2 linked regions of the Lepisosteus oculatus genome follow. The protein of the gene in region 1 purifies or fractionates together with the protein of each later gene. This does not show direct contact. Links are inferred from orthologs where the notes say so. Each region holds a gene or a part of one and is shown in the gene's direction. Other genes may lie near its edges.

Evidence for each region. Proteins that work in one complex are often made in the same cells at the same time.
Region 2: the proteins of ipo4 (region 1) and histone chaperone asf1b-B purify together in Homo sapiens (affinity purification with mass spectrometry; 5 studies listed by BioGRID and IntAct, counting the BioPlex papers as one, with this or other methods). This does not show direct contact. The link is inferred for Lepisosteus oculatus from reciprocal best matches to the Homo sapiens genes IPO4 and ASF1B.

What each region holds. Positions count from the first base shown.
Region 1 is NC_090699.1:14,287,777-14,291,526, reverse strand, and holds the start of ipo4 (importin-4), read left to right. Parts: upstream 1-1,113; 5' UTR 1,114-1,128; coding exon 1,129-1,227; intron 1,228-1,669; coding exon of another isoform or gene 1,670-1,940; exon of another isoform or gene 1,941-2,353; intron 2,354-3,750. Other genes in the region: homeobox protein NANOG, read right to left, coding at 1-439, 540-868, 1,670-1,940. UniProt on the Homo sapiens protein: Nuclear transport receptor that mediates nuclear import of proteins, such as histones, RPS3A, TNP2 and VDR. Serves as receptor for nuclear localization signals (NLS) in cargo substrates.
Region 2 is NC_090706.1:21,998,569-22,002,318, reverse strand, and holds the start of histone chaperone asf1b-B, read left to right. Parts: upstream 1-1,617; 5' UTR 1,618-2,123; coding exon 2,124-2,232; intron 2,233-2,935; exon of another isoform or gene 2,936-2,972; coding exon of another isoform or gene 2,973-3,015; intron 3,016-3,750. UniProt on the Homo sapiens protein: Histone chaperone that facilitates histone deposition and histone exchange and removal during nucleosome assembly and disassembly. Cooperates with chromatin assembly factor 1 (CAF-1) to promote replication-dependent chromatin assembly.

The sequences.
Region 1 (3,750 bases):
ACACCGAACTGGAGCTTTTTGAGGTCTGAGGTGAAACATTGGGGTACACAGCAGTGGGGCTTTCTGAGGTCTGAGGTGAAACACTGGCGTGCACAGAGGTGGGGCTCTCCAACGTCTGAGCTTGAAAGTTGGGGTAGACAGAGCCCAAGTCTTCGAATGACTGAGTTTGAATACTGGGGTACGGAGAGCTTTCTGAGGCCTCAGCTTGAGCATTGGGGTACGCAGAGCTTTCCGATGTCTGAGCCTGAATATTGGTGTAAGCAGAGCTAGTGCTTACCAAGGCAAGAGGTGGAATATTGGGGTACGCAGAGCTGGAGCTCTCCAAGAGGAGAGGCTGAATAATGGGGTACCCAGAGCTGGGGACCTGCTCCTCTCCCTCGGTCAGAGTCTTCTGCTGCCTCTTTTGTTTCATCCTGCGGTTCTGAAACCAGGTCTTAACCTGCAAACAGACAGGGGATGGTGAGAGGGCGCTCTGCACTGGTCTGTCCCACACACACAGACAGGGCGCTCTGTACTGGGGGATGGAGTGACTCCGTTACCTGTTTGTAAGATAGTCCGATTTTGTCAGCCAGGCTCTTCATCTCTGCTGGAGTGAGGTACATCTTGATCATGTAGCGCTCGCACAGCGCAGTCATCTGCGTCTCGGAGAAAGCCGTGCGGAGCTTGCGGGCACGTTTCCCAGCTGCTGGGGCCGCACCTGGGTCCATGTCCAGCAGTGCCCCCTGCTGCTGCCCCTGCTCTTCTGCACCTTTGGCCCAGCTGCAGGGAGCAGGCACGGGCTCGGCGCAGGCAGTCTCAGCCGGGCTGCAGGGCGCGGGAGGGGGCCTCAGGGCGTAGCTCTCGTCGGCGCTGGGCGAGCTCCAGGAGTCTGGGACACAGAGAGCGGAGGAGAGGGTCAGACCCCAGGACACATAAAAGCACCGTAAATAGACACACAATCGTTTAAAGTGACGGATTCATTCCAACTGGAGACAGAAGATCCACCGAAACGTGTTACATCCCCTCTCTGTTCCCACCGAGTTCTCCCGGCGGCCACGGGGGGGCGCCAGACTCCACACTGTCCGCACCAAAGAGTGGCGACATAACGGAAAGAGACGGAGAAGAGAGGGAAAAAGAGGAAAAAGAGAGATGGACGCGTCGCCACCTGATCCCTCCGAGGACGGCGTGAGGCACCGCGGCGTGGAAAACGCACGCACCCCGTGTTCAGCAGGAGGACAGGCGCTGCAGGTGGGTGAATCCTTGATTTGACCCACACAGCGGGGGCACAGTACTACATCTCTCGCTGCGCTGTGGAAATGCGGGATTGCTTCCCGATAGAAACCAACAACGCCGACCTGCAGTCTAGGGGCCGCAGCGCCTCTCTCTGAAACACGCAGCGCTTTTCACACGCACAGCTACATCGTGAGACTTTTACGCGAAAATCCGGCGCTTTCAAATACAAAACCAACTCGGTCAAGAAAGACACGCAGCCGGTGAAGGCGGCAGAGAAAGTCTGAGAGAAACGCGTCTCCCTGCTTTTCCACGCCGCCGGCAGTGCGGATAAACAACCGTGTCTCTGGGAACCGCCGGAGACCCAGACTCGGAAAACACGCGTGTACAGAAACACTCAGATGCGAATAAAAAGTGACAATACGGGATATTAGAGAGAAGGGGCTCGCCGGGCACTCACCGGGGGTGCTGGGCTCCGTCTCGCTGGAGGAGTCGCTCGGGGATCCAGCCAGCGGGACCCCGGGAACACGGGTGGCGTCCTGAGGCAGGGCATTCTGGGGTGCCGTCGGCGGGACGTCGAGGAAGAGGCCGTCCGAGCCGGAGGGGGTGAAGCCGGTGCCGCTCCAGCCCAAGGACGGGTGATTCTGGACGGGCGGCGGCGGGTAGGTCATGCCGTAAGCGTAGGTGTGATAGGCGGAGCTGTAGTTCGGAAGCGAGTTCCATTCCTCCATTTCTCCCGGTTTAGAAGCGTTACAAAATACGTTTTTTTTTAATTTAAAGAAAAACGCGTTCTTTCCACCCCACCACCACCACTCCTCAGAAAGAACTGATGCCAAATCCGTCGTCTTGAACCGCCTCTCCCCGCCGGTCTTCCCAGAAAGCAGAGACGGGCGGCGAGCGTCCGCGGTTTCCAACTGCCGGGGCCCTGCAGACGCGAAGTGTCAGTTCGTCCTCGCCGCTCGACTCCGGGTTCGTTCCGACAGCACTGCGGTGTCCGGCGGCGCCGCGGGTGTTTAAGGGCCGAGGCGGCGTGCGGGGCCTGCGGGGGCGTGTGCGTGCGCGGTACCCGTCGCAGCCAATCCGCGAGTGGGGCGAGGCCTCCCGCCATTTGCATCTGTTCGGACTTGACCGAGGCCGAGAGACGGCCCCGCCTCCACACCACTCCCACTCCCACTCCCACGCCCACTTCTGAGCGGCTGTGCTGGTGGCTGCTGTCGTCCCGTTTTATTCAAATTGAAATTCACTGTAATGGCTCTTGACAAAGGGGGTGGAGACCAGAAACTCATGTTTTCATGTTTTTGGGCACTATTCGGTTTGAACTTCTGGAAAGCGAGCGTGTTACCCGCTGCTGTTGTTAATAATATTCCTGTAGGTTAGTGAGGATTCTGCTGTTGTTGCATTAGATAGATAATACTTTATTAATCCCGTAGGGAAATCGATGTGTTACAGCAGTCCAGCCCAAGACAAGCAAAACAGACATCAGAATAGTTATAAAACAAGAGACAAACAAGATAAATAAAAATAAATACATAGGTGTGTGCAAAATGTGCTGATCATAGTCACTGTAAAAACAATAAAATATGTGCAAAATTAATTCCTATGCTTAAAACTGGAGTGTGCTCTCACAAGCAAGAACTTTTTTTTTCGGATTTCTTCTGCTTTTTTAGATCTTCAGATTGAAAAGTGTCCAAAAAGATGAGATTCCAGTCCCTCCCCCCTCCCCCTTCGCGGAGAGCCATCCCGGGGAATTTTAATCTGAAAGAGATTTTTGTAAAGGCAGGCCTCGTGGTCCCAGCTGTGAGTGCTGTACCTTGTTCAGGTACAACAATCGCACCGATTAGTTCCTGAAAATGTCTGCTCACAGGCGTAAACCCACACGAGCGACACTAAATCCCCATTAAAATCCATGTAGAAGACTCTGATTCGTTCCAACTGCTCACGACTGGACACGACCCAGCCAAGCTCAGGTGCTCTTCTGGTCATGTGAGCAGTTTGGCAGCACCAGTTGTTAAGAGTGTGTTACAGCAAGTCGAAAGCACCACTGTGTCTCCTTTCTGCCAGCTGCTCTGTTCAAGTGGGTGACAAAGCAGGAGTGTGGAGCGATCCCTAGTGCACGTGAACAAGAAATATGATGTGAACTAACCAGAAGTTCACAAAACTACCAAACAAAAATGGTTGATTATGTTTGTGAATAAATCCTGCCCAGTTGAAGGTGGAATAATGCCGAATACAACTGTAAAAGACAGAGCACCAAGCTCCCTGTCAATACTGTGTCTTCGTGGAGGACATAATCAAAATATGATCAGGCCATGAGGCTCTTATTCAGTCACTTCCCAGCTTCTCCCCGTTTCTCCTGGCTCTCTGATGGCAGGAACAAGTGTTCCTGGTTCTCCTGTGTCCAGACTCCTCTCTCACACCAGGGCCCGCTAACCTGCCAGCGAGTCTCTGCACGGATCTGAGAGGCAGTGTGCTAAGGCTTGCCGGTCCCGGGTTTCACTGTGTGTTTGAACAGAGGAGCTGACTGGAGCACAAAGGGGTGAG
Region 2 (3,750 bases), on another chromosome or scaffold:
AACTTTGGTATACAACCCTCATGCAGGTAACACCCCAGGAACTGAACCTGAGGCCCCGGCACTGTGAAGAAGCAATGTTTAACACTGCACCACTGTATCACCCAGAAGTTAAAATATAAATACAGACTGGAAAACACTAAGCTAGAAGAAGCTACTCATGATAAGACATCTGTGTTTATGTTGGTACATTGCTTACATCTTCCAGATGATGTGGGGAGAAATTAAAAAGGAAAATAAAATGTTTGGCTGTATTAAAAGCTTAAAATTGAAATTAAGGGATGTCATGTTAAAATTGTGTATTGCGGTAGTTAGGTCTCATTTAGAATACCGTGTAAAATGGTGATTATCACATTACAAAAAAAATATTACTGCTTTGAAATGAGTCCAGAGAATAACAGATGCTTTCTGGGTCTTCAAGGAATATTCTACACAGAGGCTGAAAAAACTTTTTTAGTCTCGAAAAACAATATTAAGGGACCGGATACAAATATTAAAAATTCTCACAGAAATTGACAATGTCAACCCAGAGGACTTCTTCAGAATAAACAATGAAACACAAACCAGAGGGCACACGTGGATACTACATGGAAGTGTATTTAACAACAACAGAAGGCACTTCTCTACCCAGAGGGTTGTGGTAGTGTGAAACAAGCTAACCATGTGATTGAGGCTGATACTTTGACTTAATTCAAGAAACTGCTGGATGAGATTCTAGGATCAATTACAGTAAATACTATCAAATGAGCAAAATGGGCTTAATGGCCTCCTCTCATTTGAAACATTTCTATGTACAGTTCAGTTTATTGCCATATGCACAAGTGCAATGCGTATTTGCATGTATGTTCCAAAGACATTAAGAAAATACCAAAAACATAAACACAGAACAGAGGCAGCAACAAAAAGTTAAAGAACATACAACTTTAAAAAAACATCAGTGTGAGCCAGTGGTAGGGGTAATTAAAACATCGCGAAACTGATATTAACATGTCAATTGCAATTACATTCCGTGCATTTTGTTTTGGTGAGCAGAACAGAAATATCCTTAGTAATAACCAGAATCGGATAACTCTGATTTTCCATCCTATACATGCTGCTGTGGGATATGCATTTCAACAAACACAGAAATCACGTAAGTGGAAACAGTAATACTCTAAATTTTTGGAATGGTATAACACACACTGTTCTCCCATCGGTGACTTCTGAGAAAAACATAGATTGTAATTTACTGATTACACAGAGAGCAAAATCTAGTAATTGACAAATCTTCGCCATTGTAATTGAAATAAAGCACGTAATTTACTCATTTTGTGGTGTCGAGTCCTGATAAATTCCCATTTCTTAGGCACTCATAAGGTCGTTTGATTAAGTTTAGGAACGCACCCCCTGCTGCACTTGCTTGCAGCTCAAATACTATGCACAACTCTATGAAAGGAATTATGGGTACGTCGCGTAATGGCAGTCGAAGAACGAGCAACTGTGCAAAACATCTCGAATCTGCTCATTTGCACAGAATTCTGCGACAGTGACGTCACGCAGCAGCGCGCCAGCAGTTTCAGACGCTATAGTTCCTGCAGCTGCTGGCCAATCGGTAGCAGAGCTCTCCTGGGTCCCATGGCTATGGCCTGGCCAATCCGCTTCAAGCTTGATGCTCCTAGTCTTACTGTCCGGCGGAGGCTGCTGTGAACGCTGGCGGGAGCGAGTTTCTTTCTTTCTCTCGGGCAGACCGCGAAGGGAACGGGTTTGTGACGTTTGGAGGGAAACATATTTTTGAAACTTTTCATACGCTTTCTGTCCGGATCTGAAGGTTTGAGTCCCCCCTCTTGTCAGGAACAAAAAACTTCGAAAACCTTTGGTGTGTGGATGCAGAAAATGAAGATCTGGTACCAAGACTCATTTTAAATAAGCGACGTATAAATACAGGAAATTATTCACTTTCGTAAGGAAAAAATATACTTTTTAGTTTTAGTAAGGAGCTGTCACCCCCTGTTAGAGCGCACGGTTCTCTGTAACTAGATCCTCAGCAGTGCAAAGACGGGATTTGGGGGTTTCTACGCAGTTTTGTCCCTTTGAGTGACTCGGATAATTATTGTTTTGCACCGCGAGTTGGCCGGGCAGCTGCAGAAATGGCGAAGGTGCAAGTGCTGAACGTTGCCGTCCTGGACAACCCGAGTCCCTTCGGAAACCCCTTCCAGTTTGAAATCACTTTCGAGTGCATGGAAGACCTTCCCGAAGGTAAGCGCATCTCCCTTGGGCTGCGGATGTCGGGCAGCCTTTTTTCTGCCTTATCTCAGGTGCAAAGTGCGTCCTGCCGAAATGGCGGGGAGAAATCGTAGGTACTCAAGGGGCGAGCACATTTCTAATTTTGTTGCATGAGCTGGTGTGACACTTTGCTGTTCAGATTTTAGGTGGAGTAGAAAGCCTATCGTAAAGCGCTGTTATGAAAAACTATTATAATCTTATAATCTATTGTTTGCTAGTACTTTGAAGCAATTTAGTTTTGTAGTTGAACGAATTTATAATAGTTGTAACTTGAGCATTTTCCAACATTTTTACAGATAAATTGTTTCATTCTCGTAGATTTTCAAGAAACGTCAGGGCTATATTATATCAGTTAGGTGAACAGGCCTAACTAGTTCACCCGCAGTCTAACAGTCAAAATGCAAGCAATTTAAAGTAACTGATTCTCTGAGATTTATGACGGCGATAATTCGTTTGATTCTTTCTCTGGTTAGAAGCATTTCGCTTTTTTCTTAATTATACTTGTATGTCCTTTCCATTACTTAGTTTAAAGATGGTAATCTTTGAATTTTGGCGCCGGCGGGGACTTAAAGCAAGCGAGCAGAAAAAAATTCTAGAATCCATGCCTCTTCTATCTGATTGGGCGGCTGATGATACGGGGGCGTGTGTTTTAGCATCTGTTGTGTATCCGATTGGTTCCTAAGCGAGTTACTATGACTGTAGCTCCTGATTGAATGGAAATTGCGGGAGTAGCTTTTGTTTCACGCAGAGCTAGAGGTAGTATTCTGCAACCACATTAATTTGACGCCGAGACGGTTGGTGTCTTCATTTTGAAGTTTCCAAGTTACTCATTAGTAACTTAGAGGTATTCAAATAAAGAATTGTTTATCCGAAGCTGCTTGGTAATATTCATAAGTAAATATAACGTTCAATGTTTCAATGAAACATTTACTTCTTAAAGTTTATATTAAAATATTCTGGGTATTGAAGACTGTTCAAAAACAAATATATTCACTGTGACAGTTTGGATTATATTTTCATTTTAATAAACTGTATGATTAATTGTACCTTTGTAACGTGTTAATTTGTAGTGGGGCAATATTGGTTTCCGTCTGAATATATTTAGTTGTTTTAATTAAACACATTTAATGTCTTGCAGTAATTCTGAAAATTAACATTTTCAATGTTACTTTATCTTTTGCTGTGCTGCGATATTCTGGCGCCCAAGATCAAAGCTTTTAGAGTTCAGTCATACCAGTTCAAGCCCGTTTAACTTTAAGATGGCATTGTATTTGTGTAGGAACAAGTGTCACAACCGAAGAAGGCTCCACAGCCGAAACGTTGTTTTCTTCTTTATTCAGCATGGAGTAAACCTATTACTTGTTCCTTTGCAGCCTATGCATGCTGACATAGCTACACACCTAAACTATTTCATTGTATTTGTGTTTAAAATTCCTGCTCGACAGTTGGTGGGTTTTTAAGTAATTTGATTACATAGTGATTTTTGGACAT